Linked DNA regions of Oreochromis niloticus. The protein of the gene in region 2 purifies or fractionates together with the protein of the main gene of each other region. This does not show direct contact. Links are inferred from orthologs where the notes say so. Each region holds a gene or a part of one and is shown on either strand. Other genes may lie near its edges.

Region 1 (7,965 bases), on a different chromosome or scaffold from region 2:
GTGAAAGATTTTATTGCAAACATTTATTAGAATAAATTCAAAGTGCAACACATGATGAAGGTTAAGGGTCAGAGGTCACCAGGCTGCATCCATCAACTGACTTCCACTGAAGAATCTGACTGGACAAAGTCTCCATCTCTGAGGCCTGCATCAGCAGCTGGGCGTGCGAGGAGTCCTGAGAGAGTGGGAGAGGTAACAGTTGAACTGGGATGAACTCTGCAGTCAATCGGAGGACGCTATTTAGTGTGTGAGGGACTGATAGGAAATGACCATGAACAGGGAGGTGGCCAAGGGCGGAGCCAAGAGACAAACCCAGTTAACAATACTAATTTGTTTTTATCAATAAAGCTTGATGCTGAATCACACAAAGCGTTGTTTCAGTCAAGCCCCGCCTCCCGTTTCTGACCTGTTTCTGCACAATACCCCACACTGCTGATGACAAACCCACCAGACTCCATTCATAAAACATCGGTTTTTAGCTCACAGAAAACAAACGTTTGCGTTTGACTGTGATGATCCAAACTAATGAGTTCAGACCTCAGGGTGACACAAGCTCACCTGTTCTCTCAGGTAAACTTCCTGTTTTCGTGAATGGAGTCTGGTACACACAGATTCTCTCAGGTGTCTAAAATGAACGGTGGCACACGGCTTTAGTTTGTCTGCATAGGGGCGTGGCCTACTGCCATCCCCAAACCAGTGAGGTCGTGTGACTGACCAGCAGAGTGAGACGGTCTCTGGCTGTGGTCCTGCTGTGGGCGGAGCTTAGCTTCTCCTCCAGAGTCTCAATGAAGTCCATCATCAGGTTCAGGGACTCCACCACGAACCTGAAACACACCACAGACCGTTACAGTGCGCCATGGGCCACTCCAATCACGCTGAGAGTATCAGGCATTACCTGTGCAGGTGAGCGTGCACGGGCAGGTTGGTGTGAGCCAGCGGTCTCATGAGTCGCTGCCTCAGACTGTTCTGCTCTCTCAGCAGCTCCTGCATGTGATCCCCGAGCATCTGCAGCATCTGGAACCTTCGAGCTGCAGGACACAAAAGCACCTGATCAGAGGGGGCGTGGCTCTGCCATCCTCCGTTCTGACAGGAAGTCTTTAAAGTCCCTTCAGAATAAGATCTGGAGTGAAGGCTGGTTTAAAAACATCGACCCGATGACAATGACATCACCTGGACTCACCGAGGTGGAAGCTGTGGGCGACATCGGCGCTTTGCTCGTCAACCTGCAGCAGCTCCAGCCGCAGCCGCATCTGCATCAACAGGAAACAAATACCTTTACGTTAGCTGACACAGTCACATGACTTCTAGCCCCAGTGCAGTCACTGTTGTTTAACACAGCTCCTGCAGGTAAGGTGTTTCATTCACACAACAGCGTCTCATTCACCTGACCGGACCCACAGCGAGCGCACACCTGTCACCGCCTGCAGTTGACGCCCTGAAGGAGTCAGTGCTCAGATCCGAGTTTCTGTGATGGGAAGCATTTGGCGAGACGATCATGTGTTCATAAATGACGCACCCAGCACGCCAACGTACAAAACAGGGCTTTATTAATAAAGCGCTGCGATACTGCTGCTGTGGAGACACTAGCATAGACCCGCTGTGACCCACAGGACTAGTTACAAGATACAAAACTACCTACTGGTTTCATTACCCTGTGGATTAGTCTGAAAGCTGCAGAAATGTAGGATTAGTTACGAAGCCAATAGGAGAGACTTACAGCGGGTTAGAGGACTAGTTAGTAATTAGAGTGTAAATATGAGCATTTTCTGAACAAAGGAGAGGACACACAATCCAAAGTTTAATTAACTAACCACGACTAGAAAAGAAAAACAAGAAAGTGAAGGCGCTGTGAGCAGCCAATCGGAGCCACCAGGATCCATGAAGCTGCTCTGTGGAGGTTCTGAGTCTGCCTTTAAAAACATGACGACTGTGCTCATGATCACCAACAGCCCCACATCGGAGGCCGTCTCTCACGGTGACACAGCGCAACAGCCTGCAGTCAGCTTAGAGTGAATGATGTCATCGCTCCAGAATGACATCATCCACTCTGAGCTGCAGGCAGGAGAGCAAAACAACGTTTCTCATGAGAAAATTTCAAAATCCAATCTGGCCGACATCCGGCTCAGGCATCGAAGCAGGTGGGGCTCTGCACTCTGACATAACATCCCAGCACGCCATCCCCGAGACAGCTGCACGCACATACCTCATCCAACTGCTTCTGCATTCTGATTTGCTCTTCAGCCTTCCGCAGATGAGAGGAAAAGACGGGGCCTGTAGCACTGGAGGCGGAGTCTATTTCCTCCTGAGGACAGGTGAGACAGAAGCAGATTCAGATTTTACTCACAAGCTTTAGTCTGGATCAGAACCGGATCACACAGGTCAGCTCTCACTCAGATCTGAACCTGTCCTCAGACATCTCTGAACCGTGTAAAGCTGCTCTGACAGACCGCCTCAGCCTCCTAAACACCTGTTCGTGTCCTTACCTGAGACAGCGCTCCCACGGAGACACACTTAGAAAGCAGGCTGGCAGCTGGAGTCACGGAGAACGGAGACAAATCCCACTGATGCATCTGAAAGACAGGAACGTCACCTGAACCAGACCAGCCTCAGACTCTGATATTCACCTGGACCAGGTGTTCAAACCTAAAACCGGATCTATCCGAACCAGAACCCTGCTGGGATCCACCTCACAGCTCTGCGTGTGAAGGCAAGCGCCATCAAACTAAATCTCCACAATTTTAAACGGACTTTGAAGCAGCTTTAAAGGCTTTTTTGACGGACACACCGGCACCGTTAAGCTGCCTCTGGCGGTCCCGTTAAACACAAACAGTCTAGTGTCAGTTTCCAGCTTTTTCTTACCGTTAAAACCAAAGAACCTCCGCTCTAAGACGACCAAACTGAACCTCACCGGAGCCCGCCCGCCGGTTTGTTTTTGCTGTTTCTCTTCTTCTGCGAAAACGTTTGGCGGCTGCTGACCGCAACAGCGACCCCTCAGGATCCAGAGAGAACTACAACACATAGTTACAGAAAATAATCGCGTTTCTGTTTGTGTACAAACAAAAAACGTCTCTTTCTGCCTAATCCTGGATCCAAATCTGACCTCACAGCCTGCTGAGGTCACATGACAAGAAGAATGTCGTTCAGGGTTTGAGTGACATCTGTCAGCAGGTGGCAGCGTTGCAGCCCTGAGCGGGATTTTCAGCAGAGAAGAAGAAGAAGAAGAAGAAGCAGCAGAAGCAGGAGCGCAGAATCAGGGCGGCTGCCGAGCTTCACTTTTCTACTGATCTTAATTTTTTTTGTCCTTTTATCGGATAAAATTAAGCACAGCACCTGGACACGCGACACTTGCACACGGGGGTTAAAGGGCGACATTGTGTCGGTATGTAAACAGAGCCGTTTCCGGTTATCTCAGCTGTTAGCAGGGTGGCGGTGGCCTTAATGTTTACAGTGTGTTTACAGTGTGTTTACAGTGAGGAGAGACTGGGACCGATTAGGCTGCTGACGGTGAGTGTGTCACCTCTCAGGTAAACACGTGACTCACCTTTACCACCTGTGACAGCTGAAGGGTGAGCTTTTGCCTGCTGCAGAGAGACAGGTGTGTGTGCGTGTGAGCGCGTGCGTGCATGTCAGCTAGTGCCTCAGGCTGCCCCGCTGCAAGAAACTGACCACCTTAAATACCTTTTAAAGTCCACCTTAAAGCTGAAACCGCTCTCTGTTGCCACAGCATTGATCTGGAACGCCTCAGTTTGGGGGATTTGGCGGCCCCTGTGGTGACTGTGGAGAACTGCAGGTGTGTTCAACACTACAGAGGAGGAGGGTTTTCCACAGGTGTGTTTACTGAGCTCAGGCTTCAACACTAATGCATTTTACACATTACTGGGGTGTGCTGTAGAAAGCCAATGGTAAGTCCGGTTTGTTCCCTCTTTGGCTGATGCACACTCATGAGTAACAAAGCTGGGTTAGGACCACTGATGGTCAATTTGGGATAAAGTTAAAATAGTAAATAGCCTGTATTTGTATAGCTCTTTACTTAGTCCCTATGGACCCCAAAGCGCTTTATACTACATTTAGTCATCCACCCATTCACACACACATTCACACACAGGTGATGGCAAGCTACATTGTAGCCACAGCCACCCTGGGGCACACTGACAGAGGCGAGGCTGCCGGACACTGGCGCCACCGGGCCCTATGACCACCACCAGTAGGCAACGGGTGAAGTGTCTTGCCCAACCTTCTGATTACAAGACGAACTGCCAACCATTGAGCCACGATCGCCCCTAGTGGCAAATTTATAAGATTAATGTTGTAAATTTAGGGAGACTTGCCTGTCAGAGTCAGTGTGGTGCTTGGTGAAGTGCAGTTATTAACGATGCTAATGGTTTGTATGTTAGTTAGCTGAGGATTATTAATGTGAATGAGTTATTACAGGTCTTCTTTGTTATTAAACACCTTTAATCCACTGGGGGTGTTTGATCTGCTCATCTGTGCATCAACATGAGAAAAAGTTTAAATCCTACGCCGCCCAGCACAGGTGGATATTGATACCGTTTCCCTCGGCTCAGGACGGGTCGCTTAGAGAAAACAATCAGGGATTTCAACCCAAACTCGGAGCCTTACGTTGGCACGATGCTGCGGGACATGGAGACAAAGCACGTCTGTGAGCTCACCAGCAGCCCATGCAGAGCTTTTCTCTGAATATTCACTTTGTTCTTCAGTCAGAGTGAAACAGCTGTACGCCGCCTCTGTTCCAATCTCACTAATAAACACAAACATGTTCACAGGTCTGTGAGAGAGGACTGCTCACCTGCAGGGATTCACTATCTGATCTCATCAACACCTGCTGACGAGGAGGAGGAGGAGCGCTGATACGGCTGTCAGCTGATCCATCAGCCTGTCTGGAAGGACTTCGGGTGGCCCTGCAAGTGGAGGGCTGGTACCTGGCTACAGGTGCAGATGGGGAACAGTGCGCTGAAGTCTCACCTTGAAACCTCCCAGAAGACGGGAGTGTTTCAGCTGACGGGGAAAGGTCTGCAGGAGGTGAGAGGAGCAAAACTCCAGAGTTAACTTACACACATACACAGAAAGATTTAAACACATGTTTGACGCGTCAGACGTTTCAGTCCGGGCACCCTATGATTGGACAGTTCTCCTTTCAGTTCGGAGCCTTTACTGTCATTGCATGAAACTGGAGTGGCATCACTGGGATGGAGAACAAACACACAGAGACACGTGTTCACACATGTAAGCAATGAATAAATCAGGTGATAAAGCAGGTGATCGCCTTTTATACACCTGACCAGATGGTGTTTATCTGCGATTCGCTGAAGGGGTGGGAGCTGGGCCCTGTAACTTTTTTGTGCTGTCTTTATGATGCGTTGGAGTCTATTTTTGTGAGGAGCTTGTGATACAATATGACAGCAGCCCTTCTATGGTGGAGTGGTAGAAGGATTCGAGTTTTGTCTGTAGCCTGTTTCTCCTCAGGAAGTGCGGGCCCGCTGAGCTTTCTTCACAGTGGTGTTGGTGTGGGCAGTCCAGGAGATGCTCCTGTGTGGGTTCCTGGGAGTCAGGAATCCTGGATCCTGTCCACACAGTCTCCATTGATGTACAGAGAAGATGGCCTGCTGTGTTTTTCCCTTTGGTGGCACTTTCCACCTACTGTGAGAAGTCAGGAACTGTCTTTAAGCAGTTGTTAAAATCACCAGCAGTGATGACGGCCCGATCCGGATGTATCTGCATCTGTTGGTACTGTGCAGCTGGCTTAGAGCCATGCTGACCTTAGCAACAGGAGCTATGTGCACTGCTGTAAAAGCTCTGCAGCCGACTTGACAGAGGATAAGTCCGGGGAACTGAAGCTGTCGAGGACTCAGCTGTGTGTGCACCAGTTGTTATGTGTGACGATGCAGAGTCCTCCGCTCGGTTCTTTCCTGACTCTTTATGTGGTCCTGATGATGGAGAGTCCAGTCCAGTAGCATCGGGAGCCGTGTTTCCGTTGCACAGCAGTTTCAGACAAGTCTGTTGGTGGCCAGCTGCGGTTCGATTTCGTCCATCTTGTGGGTGAGCGATCTGGCACATCCTCATTTGTTTTTGTCTAAATCACAAAGCAAAAAACACAAAATGAAAAAAAAAAAAAAAACCCACAGAACTGGAGAGCTCCGAGCTGCAGCATGTAGGCGCACACTTGCCACCATTAGAGTGTGACACCCCAGGGCCTGATCATAGCAAGCTTAACCTATACAAAACCGAGGGCGTCCCGAGTCGCCTGTCCTGAGTTGCCTGTCCTGGTCACGGTCTGCTTTCAGTTTCCAGAGGAGCTGCAGAGGCTCACGGCCAACCTGAGGACGGTGGATCTGTCCGGGAACAAGATAGAGGTCCTTCCTACCACCATCGGAAACTTCCCTCAGCTCAAGAGTCTGACGCTGAACTCTAACCGGCTCGGTGAGTGTTCGACCCGGAGCAGTTATGCCTTTACATCTGTGTTTTAAAGCCAAACAAAAAGCAACCACATTCTTGTTTCAGCATTTGATTTGTTCTCTTTGGATGCTTTTTTTTAGTTTAATTTAGGGTTGGAATGATTTAAAAATCCCCGGACTGTGTGTGTCTTTAGATCCGGTTTAGCTGCAGAACAAACCGGAGCCTCCCCGACCCTCAGACCTGTGAGACCCTGTTGTGTTGTGGTTCTGTTTTTAGTCGGGATTCCCTCTGAGATTGGGAAGCTGAAGAAGCTGGAGACCCTGAGTCTGAATGGAAACCGGATCCAGCAGCTGCCCCCCACACTGGGCCAGCTCAAAGCCCTGCGGACCCTCAGCCTGGCCGGGAACCAGATTTCAGAGTTCCCCTCCGGACTCGGAACGTTGAGGCAGCTGGACTTGCTGGACCTGTCCCGAAACAAGATCCAGAACGTCCCTGAAGAGGTGTCCGAGCTGCAGGCCATCGAGATCAACCTCAACCAGAACCAGGTACTGCAGAACCAGGTCTGTCAGTCCACCAAAGAACCAGAACCAGGAGGAAAACCTGAAAGGGCTGACCCTGTGCTGTTAATTCACCCAGTATTAAAGATCAGTTTTATTTATATAGCACCAAATCACTACAACAGTCGCCCCAAGGTGCTTAATCAATCGGTTATCAATAATCACTGATCGGTCACTCCATGACATCTACTGCAGCTTTCTATCCCTCAGACTTCCCAGGAGGTTCTGATAATCCCAGCCCAGGTCTGGTGGTGTTCCTCTGTACTAACCCGGTCCTCTGTTCTTGGTCCAGATCTCGGTGGTGTCGGCGGAGGTCTCCCGCTGTCCCCGTCTGAAGGTCCTCCGCCTGGAGGAGAACTGCCTGGAGCTCTCCTCCATCCCTCAGTCCATCCTGACCGAGTCCCAGGTGTCCCTGTTCTCGGTGGAGGGAAACCTGTTTGAGGTGAAGAGACTCCGGGACCTGGAGGGATACGATAAGGTCAGTGCTGCGGTCTGAGACCAGATCGAGTCCAAGACTGCGAGTCCTCCTGCGGTCCCTGATGACACTCTGCTTTTCCTCCTCAGTACATGGAGCGTTTCACGGCCACAAAGAAGAAGTTTGCCTGAGGACCTTCGATGTAGAGTCTGGATCTGTGAGGTTCACCTGGAGGCGAGCTCGGCTGAAGCCCCGCCCCTCTTACCCTGCACTTCCCACAGCTGCTGCTTCTGCTGCTGCTAGAAACCAGACTTCAGCAGCCGGGACTCCTCACAGCGCCCCCAGAAATCCGAACCTCCAGAGCAACAGTCACCATGGAGACAGGACAGGTTTCACGACACTGAAGAAGAGGACCGGTGCCATGTTTGACTGCATCAAACTTTATTGTTCACTCAGTTATGGACAGAGAAAAAGTGGAAATGTTTAGTTAACCATGTAGAAACATGCTTTGTAAAATGTCAGCAGCCTGTTTATTGATTGATTGATTATTAATTATTAACAGCTATTAAAGCTTTTAAA
Region 2 (7,152 bases):
TTATTATGTCCTGATATGTAAACTGTTAACAGGGGGTGTGAACATGGTTTCATCTGCGTTTCTGTTGGTATACTGCAATGTGACCGCACCTCTAAGAGGGTTTTAACTGGTGGTAACTCATTTTCCTCTTCTGCTGACATATCCAGAAGGTGGTCGCTTTCATAGCGGAACCTGCATGCCAAAAAACAAATAAATTTTAAAAATGCATTACACTGAAAATCGGAAATCTTGAAGCATGACGTGAAATGAAAGATCCCAATCACTGCCTTACTGCAGAGCTGTTACATCCCGTGTCACGTCCAGAGACGACAGTTTCTCCTCCAATACCTTCTGCTCTCTTGAAGCCAAATACAGCAGCGCTGATAGAACATGGTTTGGAGGGTAAGCACCCAACATGTTCTGGTGACACAACAAGCAACAGCATATTAATGCAAAGTCAAAATTAAAGACAATGTTAACACAAATACAAAAATATTTTGTAAAATCAGACACAAACACACCAACCTCAACAGCACTCAGCCAGTACTGGAATACAGCAGTCCTCTGCTCACGGGTCATACTACAGGGAAAACAAACAAACACAAAAATAAATACATTTTAAAAGCTGAATAACTTAAATCGAGTACAGTCTGTGGTCCTTACTGTGTGGCTGCAGAGTGCTGTGTTTTCGATTCACACTCTTGTAAAGACTGATAGAAGTGGACCCTGTCGTCACACAGCTCTCTCACATCACGCTAAAGAAAGAAAACAAAGGTAATGAATGATTTCATGAAGTCAGCAGCTGATATGCTACAGTTGCCTCGGTAAGCAACTAATTCCAGATTTGTGCGAATGTTAAAATTTCTCCCAGCATACATTAGGTAAGGTTAGGTGAAGTAATGTTGGGTTAACTGGTAACTATAAATTGGCCCCAAGTCTGAATGTCTGTCTGATGGATAGAAAACACACAGAGCGGCTATACACAGAGCCTCCAAAGCGGCTGTATTTGCTATTTCTGTCTGATAAACATTCTAAATTTTAAACTTAAGTAAAACACAGATTCGGGCATGTTTTACCAGAACTTGTGCCTCTGTTGCCACTTTGACATTGAGGTTGTCATTGTCTCTGTTGCAAGAAGATTTATCAAACAGCACTTCAATTTCTGCTTTTCTGCAATAAACACACACACAAAAAGAAAAATGTGTAAAAGGTATTGCGTCTCTTTTTCACTTAAAATGTATTAGTAAATGTTCTGCCTTACCTGGCCATCTGTTCCAGAGCCTGGCAGTGCACACTGATCTGTTGCACATCATCAGAAAGATATTTGCGGCTTGAGATGCAGCGCTGCCTGAAAGCCTGAAGCAGCAGCTCTCTGCGTTGGCCGTCTTCCACCTGGGCCCAGGTTCGACTGATAGAGTTGTCTGTGTAATCACAGCAGAAAATGCAGCTATTAAACGCAAATGGCAAAATAGTAGACAAAAACCTTTTCAGCCCTTTGTGGTATAACTAATATATTTGAGCTGAACTTGTCACCATGTGAAATGTGTGAAAAAGATATTTTTTCAGAACTTCTCTCATTTTAACTTTAATTATTTTATCTTTATATAAGAAAACAATCACAAGGTGCAACTCAGTACATTTTTAAAGAAACCATATACACAACATCAGACATGTTTGCCTCTAATCAAAGTAGTGACAACACATCAAATTCATAGGTGTTTTAAAACAAAACTGTGTTAACACAGTTATTCCCAAATGAGTCCTGCCAAGTCCAAAGACATGCACGGTCTTTGTGTTAGTGTCTAATGTGCACTGCGTGTCACTCAGCAGGATAGGCTCCAGTCCCCTCACAACCCTGACTGGAGGAAAATTATGGAGGGATGGCTGGAAGTCCAGCCCACAGTACATATGTTGGACTAACCTTGTGTGGCCATCTGCTCCTCTGTAACGCTCATCTGAGAGTCCAGGTGACTAATCTCTTCTTTCAGCTGCTCTATCTTCTTCTGGAGATCTTTACGCTTTGCAGCCTCACTCTGGCCCTCAGCCTGACAAGACCGCACACCAGTAAACACAAACATAGCTTTTACAGAAACTCCCCTTTGTGAAGTGCAATCACTAACAATTAAACTAAATTACAACTGCTGGGGAAAAGAAATAAGTTGCAGCCTACCTCTTTGTCTTGAAGCGATTTATACCTAATAACAATGTCAAGGATAACAGAGCAAATAAATAACAAAGAAAGGCAAAGAAAACAAAACAAAGAAAGTCTGTTGGAAAGAAGCTGGAAGCTTTGCAGATCAAGTCAAGACCAAAAAGGATACCACTGAAGATTGCCACGCATGATCCTCACATTCCTAAAAAGACAGAAATCAGTCAGAGATTGCAGTTTATTTTAGAAAACAGGCCATTCATGCAAATGTTTTTTCTTTTGTAATGAACCAGAGTCCTGAGTAAATGTTTGAGGACAGGAAATGAGCCGTGTTCTAGTTATAATTTAGTGATCAAAAGGTTTAAAAACAAAAACAAAAAGCAAGCGAGAACAAAGTCTCACCTTTGCTGGAAAACATGCTGGATGACATATTTCCATATCGACTTCCCCGTCCCAACACAGAGTCTGGAAAACAATCAACATTAGTTCAAGGCTAAAAAGTTAGGTAATAACATTGATGACAGGTAACATAAGTGTAGATACCTACGTTTTAAAATAGCTGTCATTAGGCAGTCTGTCCGGGGACAGCCCAAACTCCTCTGTCGCCCAGCGTTTCAAGTCCTGAACAAGATTTCTGTCTGCCATCCTGACAAATAACAGCTGGTAACGAGCTACAGCTAAAGCGAGAAACAACAACAGGAGACTATTATCATCAGCCAGCGTAGTTAGCTTAATGAGTGCACGTAATTCACAGATGTCCCTCCAACTTACCGTGCTCCCACGAAAGATGCCTCTTTAATTCAATAAAAACAGGTTACGGTGCTCACACGGGAATATTTTTTAACCTAAACCTACTCAAACTTTCAAGTTCCCGCCTGTCAACAGCATTTCCGATTAACGACCACAGAGGAAGAGGAAAAGGAGAAGTACCGCCACCTGCTGGCTTGGAGAGCAATCACAACTACAGCCATTTGCTGTCATCAGCACAGACTGTGCCTTAGCTTTGATTTTACACAAATATCTCACATGATGAAAATCATGTAATGATCCAGAAGCCAATATTCATTTTTTTATTTTTAAATGTGGAGATGATTTAAAAGATGTTGTTTGTCATGTTATTTATTGCACTGTTTAACCCAAGAATCTAATGTGCTAATCACATGGCATCTAATCAGGGATATTTGGCATATATACATGCTCATGACAACCTGCTGAAGTTCAAACCAAGCATCAGAATGGAGATGAAAGGCGATTTAAGTGACTTTGAATTTGCCGTGTTGATGTTAGAGGTCAAGGGAATACAACTCGTTTCACCCAAGGGATGCAGAAGAGCACCTTTGAATGCAGATGAGCTACAGCAGCAGAAGACCATACTATGTGCCCATCAGCCAGGAACAAGAAATTGAGGCTTTAATTCATACTGGCTCATCAAACGTGAACAACAAAAGCTTGGTAAAACTTTGTCCGGTCTGATCAGGCTTAATTTTTGCTTTCACATTCACACGGTAAAGCCAGTTTGATGCAAACAACATGAAAGCATGGCATCACCCTGCCCTGCGCGAGTGGTTCAGGCTGGTTGATGATGGTGTGATGGTGTGAGGAATATCATCTCGGCACACCGGATCCAGAAGTATCAGCTGAGCATCACTTAAATGCGACAGCCTACCTGAGTTCTGCTGCTGACCATATTCCCTTATGACCACAGTGTACTCATCTTCTGATGGTTGCTTCTGGGGAGGATAACGTGCCACATCACAAAACTCGAATGATCTAAAACTGTTTTTTCTTAAACACTGCAACAAGTTTACCAGAATCTCTGAGGAATGTTTCCAGTAGCTTGTTCAATTTATGCCGCAAAGAAATTATAACAATTCTGAATGCATTAGCGGGTTTTCCATCCATGCTGTACAAGTTGTGAAATAAATAAATATACACAAAGTCAGAAAGTGGCTCTTTTATTTGTTTTACTGCAAATAATCAGCAATTCAGCAGACGTCTAAATGCACAGCATTAGACTTTTTTGTATTCAGTCACCTCCTCTCAACCACAGTCCAAAGGTCACAATAATCATGGTGCTTGGTTTTTTTTGTTTGTTTGTTTTTTTTTAATTTACTCATAGTATAACATGTCATTAAATCACTCCAAACTTCCATCCTATGAGAAATGGTGTAAAAATAAGTCTCTGAATGTCTGTTGTATAATAAGTATGTTAAATAAATTAAAGATGAGGTAAACAAAACACATTTCAGATGATATCAATATTCTTAAGGCTTGTGATTTCTAGTTTTGTATACTGACAAAAGTTTAAATAAAACAAAAAACACCCACTTTTACATTTTTTAAGCATATAATAAAAATAATACATTCACAGCAGGTGCAAAAGAATTTTTCACACAATTTAAAAAAATAAAGCTAGGTGTTGCCGTCATTCCCTTTGTGAAAAGAACACTCACAATAAGCCTCTGATTGTACTGTATGTCTTTAGCACCAGGCGGATGAGCTATCCGCCGATGATGGCAGGATTTTATTTCTTTTTAAAAAGGTGCTTGAAGTCACCGTATCTTCTTAAAGAGATTTAAAACTGATACAGATTCCTGAAACAAAAAAATGAAGAAACTTGGTTAATGTTTTCAGCAGGTATTAAAATGGGCGGGGGGGGTTGTTGTTAATGCGTTCTCACCTTTGTCGAGCGCGTTTTATTGAAAACGTTCCAGAAGCGTAACGTCTCGTCTCCAGCTCCCGTCACAATCGCCTCACCGTCTGGAGACATGGCCTAAAGAGTACAACAAGTCATTAGAATTTTATCTTAATAATGTTCTTATTTATATTATCAATGGAGAAAAAAACAAACAAACCAGACTGACCAGGTAGAGCACTCGGTAGGAGTGTCCTGTAAGCTTGGCCACCTGAGTGAGAGCTGGATATTTCCACACCAAGATTTGATTCTGAGAGTATCCGTGGGTGCTTACCTGAAAAAGAAAAGCATTTGTTTGCTTTTTGTTGCTTTTAACAGTGAACTCGTTTGTGTATGTGTGATGGACCGAGCTGAAAAAGCAGGAGTCACAGGAATGATCAGAAAATGGGTTTTCATTTATTTAACCCAAAAAATTCTATTTACAAACAGTAAATGTTGAGCTCATGAAAGAGTTCAAAGAAACGGTGAACTGTGACCTCAACAAACCAAACAAACATAACTGACCTAAACAGGAAATGACACACATAACAGCTGATCAGATCACTATGACACAACAGGAGTAAGTAAACAAAACACAGTCATAAACCACAAAGACGATGCAGCACAGTCTAGTTTGTTAATAAACTAAACACCAAAGAAGAAAATCAAAACAACTAAACCCTAAACTCAAACATTTAATTACAGAAAACACACATTCTCCCCCTTCAGCAGGAAGTGGTGGTGCGGTCCAATCATCCCCTCTATGCATTTCACTGCTTTTGTTTCCTTTACCTGTTTCTTACCTGCCACGATCTCTGGGAGTGGCCAGACAAAGATTATACAAAAATCAAACCAAGAATCAGAGTGAATTGGTATAAATACATAAGTAAACTAAATGTGTGCGCTTACAAACAAATGTATCCAAACCAAACAATAAACTTACTGCAAACTAAAGTGTGTTATTTTGAATAAAGAAATAAAGAATACATAAGAGTTACCGACTTTTATAATGCAGTCATGGGTTTGGCCATCACAGTATGTAAAGGCGATATAGCTGAACTAACAGAGAGATTAATCTTTGAAAACCTCTTCTTTCTCTCGGGGTCGCCACAGCAGATCATCTGCCTCCATCTCAGCCTATCCCCAGCATCCTCCTCTGTCGCACCAACCCTCTGCATTTCCTCCTTCACTGCATCCACGAACCTTCTCTGTAGTCTTCCACTATCCTTCCCTCTGCACATGTCCAAACCATTATGTTACCGTTTTATGGGGTAACTGTTGAACCCATTCTCCATAACGGAGAACCTTTGTGTCAAACTCGGATCACAAATTCAAAATGTCATTAAGAGGGCTGGAAAGATGATTAGCATGCTCCATCCATCTTCCCCCCAGAAGATATCTGAAGAGTCAGTGATCGAGTGGGGTAGGGGGGGGAAAAATAAATAAATAAAAAAATCACTAAAGATATAAATCACGTCCTTTATAAAGAGTATGACTGATGAAGAATAAGGTATGAGACTCCTGCCTGACAGAATCTGTCATCCTGCTCATCACTAATACAAAATGATTAATCTCTTTATTTGTGTATTTAAAGTTCACATTAAATCAAACATGACAGTTACCTTATATGACAGTAAGACTCACCTACTTGCCAGTCTTGGGCCCAGCAACAACAAATCAGTAATTTTACAGCTATTCTTAATTCTGAAGTTTGTCATTTTCAATAAAACACACAAAACGGGATTCATTCTGCACTCGTAGGTTTACGCTAATTCTGCATGCAACGAAACAGAGTTTTGAGTTTTAATCTCTCTCACTCATGATCATAGAGCTGAGGTCGATCCATGCAGAAGCCCCTGGAGCTGGCCAATCAGAACAGCTCTGTACATGTATACATGTATTCAATCAACTTCAAAAAGAGCTCTTAACGTATCGCTGCTGACCTACAATTTTAATCAGTGTCTTTACAATTACAAATGGTAATAAATCCACGGACAGCAAATCCACTGTGGATGTGGGGTCTCTTACCAGCTCATTAGCATGTTTGGACCAGGCCAGGTTGCAGACCTGAGAGCCGGTGTCCATACACTGCAGCGGCTGCGATGTCAGGGTATTCCAAAATCGAATGCAGCGGTCGGCGGTGCCGCCGCCCGAGGCAAGCAGGCCGTGCTGATGGGGGGACCAGGCGATGGCTTTAACTGCAGCCAGGTGATCGGTGTACGTCTGCACGGGACTGAGCGACGAGTGGTTCCACACCAACAGCTAAGACCACAAACCGCACACTCATCATCAGTGAGCAAAGCAAATCCATACAGTCGGTGTGCTTGATTAAATATTACAAAAAATTAAA

Evidence for each region. Proteins that work in one complex are often made in the same cells at the same time.
Region 1: the proteins of haus5 (region 2) and haus2 purify together in Homo sapiens (affinity purification with mass spectrometry; 5 studies listed by BioGRID and IntAct, with this or other methods). This does not show direct contact. The link is inferred for Oreochromis niloticus from reciprocal best matches to the Homo sapiens genes HAUS5 and HAUS2.

The regions. Positions count from the first base shown.
Region 1 is NC_031983.2:29,704,834-29,712,798, reverse strand, and holds the start of haus2 (HAUS augmin-like complex subunit 2), read right to left. Parts: upstream 3,009-7,965; 5' UTR 2,860-3,008; intron 2,571-2,859; coding exon 2,484-2,570; intron 2,303-2,483; coding exon 2,204-2,302; intron 1,251-2,203; coding exon 1,181-1,250; intron 1,029-1,180; coding exon 896-1,028; intron 825-895; coding exon 716-824; intron 176-715; coding exon 62-175; 3' UTR 1-61. Other genes in the region: lrrc57 (leucine-rich repeat-containing protein 57), read left to right, coding at 4,957-5,040, 6,303-6,438, 6,691-6,959, 7,264-7,449, 7,536-7,577.
Region 2 is NC_031986.2:44,252,325-44,259,476, forward strand, and holds the start of haus5 (HAUS augmin-like complex subunit 5), read right to left. Parts: upstream 3,061-7,152; 5' UTR 2,900-3,060; intron 2,806-2,899; 5' UTR 2,774-2,805; coding exon 2,676-2,773; intron 2,594-2,675; coding exon 2,531-2,593; intron 2,334-2,530; coding exon 2,301-2,333; intron 2,175-2,300; coding exon 2,150-2,174; intron 2,025-2,149; coding exon 1,901-2,024; intron 1,401-1,900; coding exon 1,241-1,400; intron 1,150-1,240; coding exon 1,056-1,149; intron 735-1,055; coding exon 643-734; intron 560-642; coding exon 505-559; intron 400-504; coding exon 272-399; intron 172-271; coding exon 90-171; intron 1-89. Other genes in the region: fizzy-related protein homolog, read right to left, coding at 4,681-4,722, 4,809-4,901, 4,993-5,097, 6,831-7,064.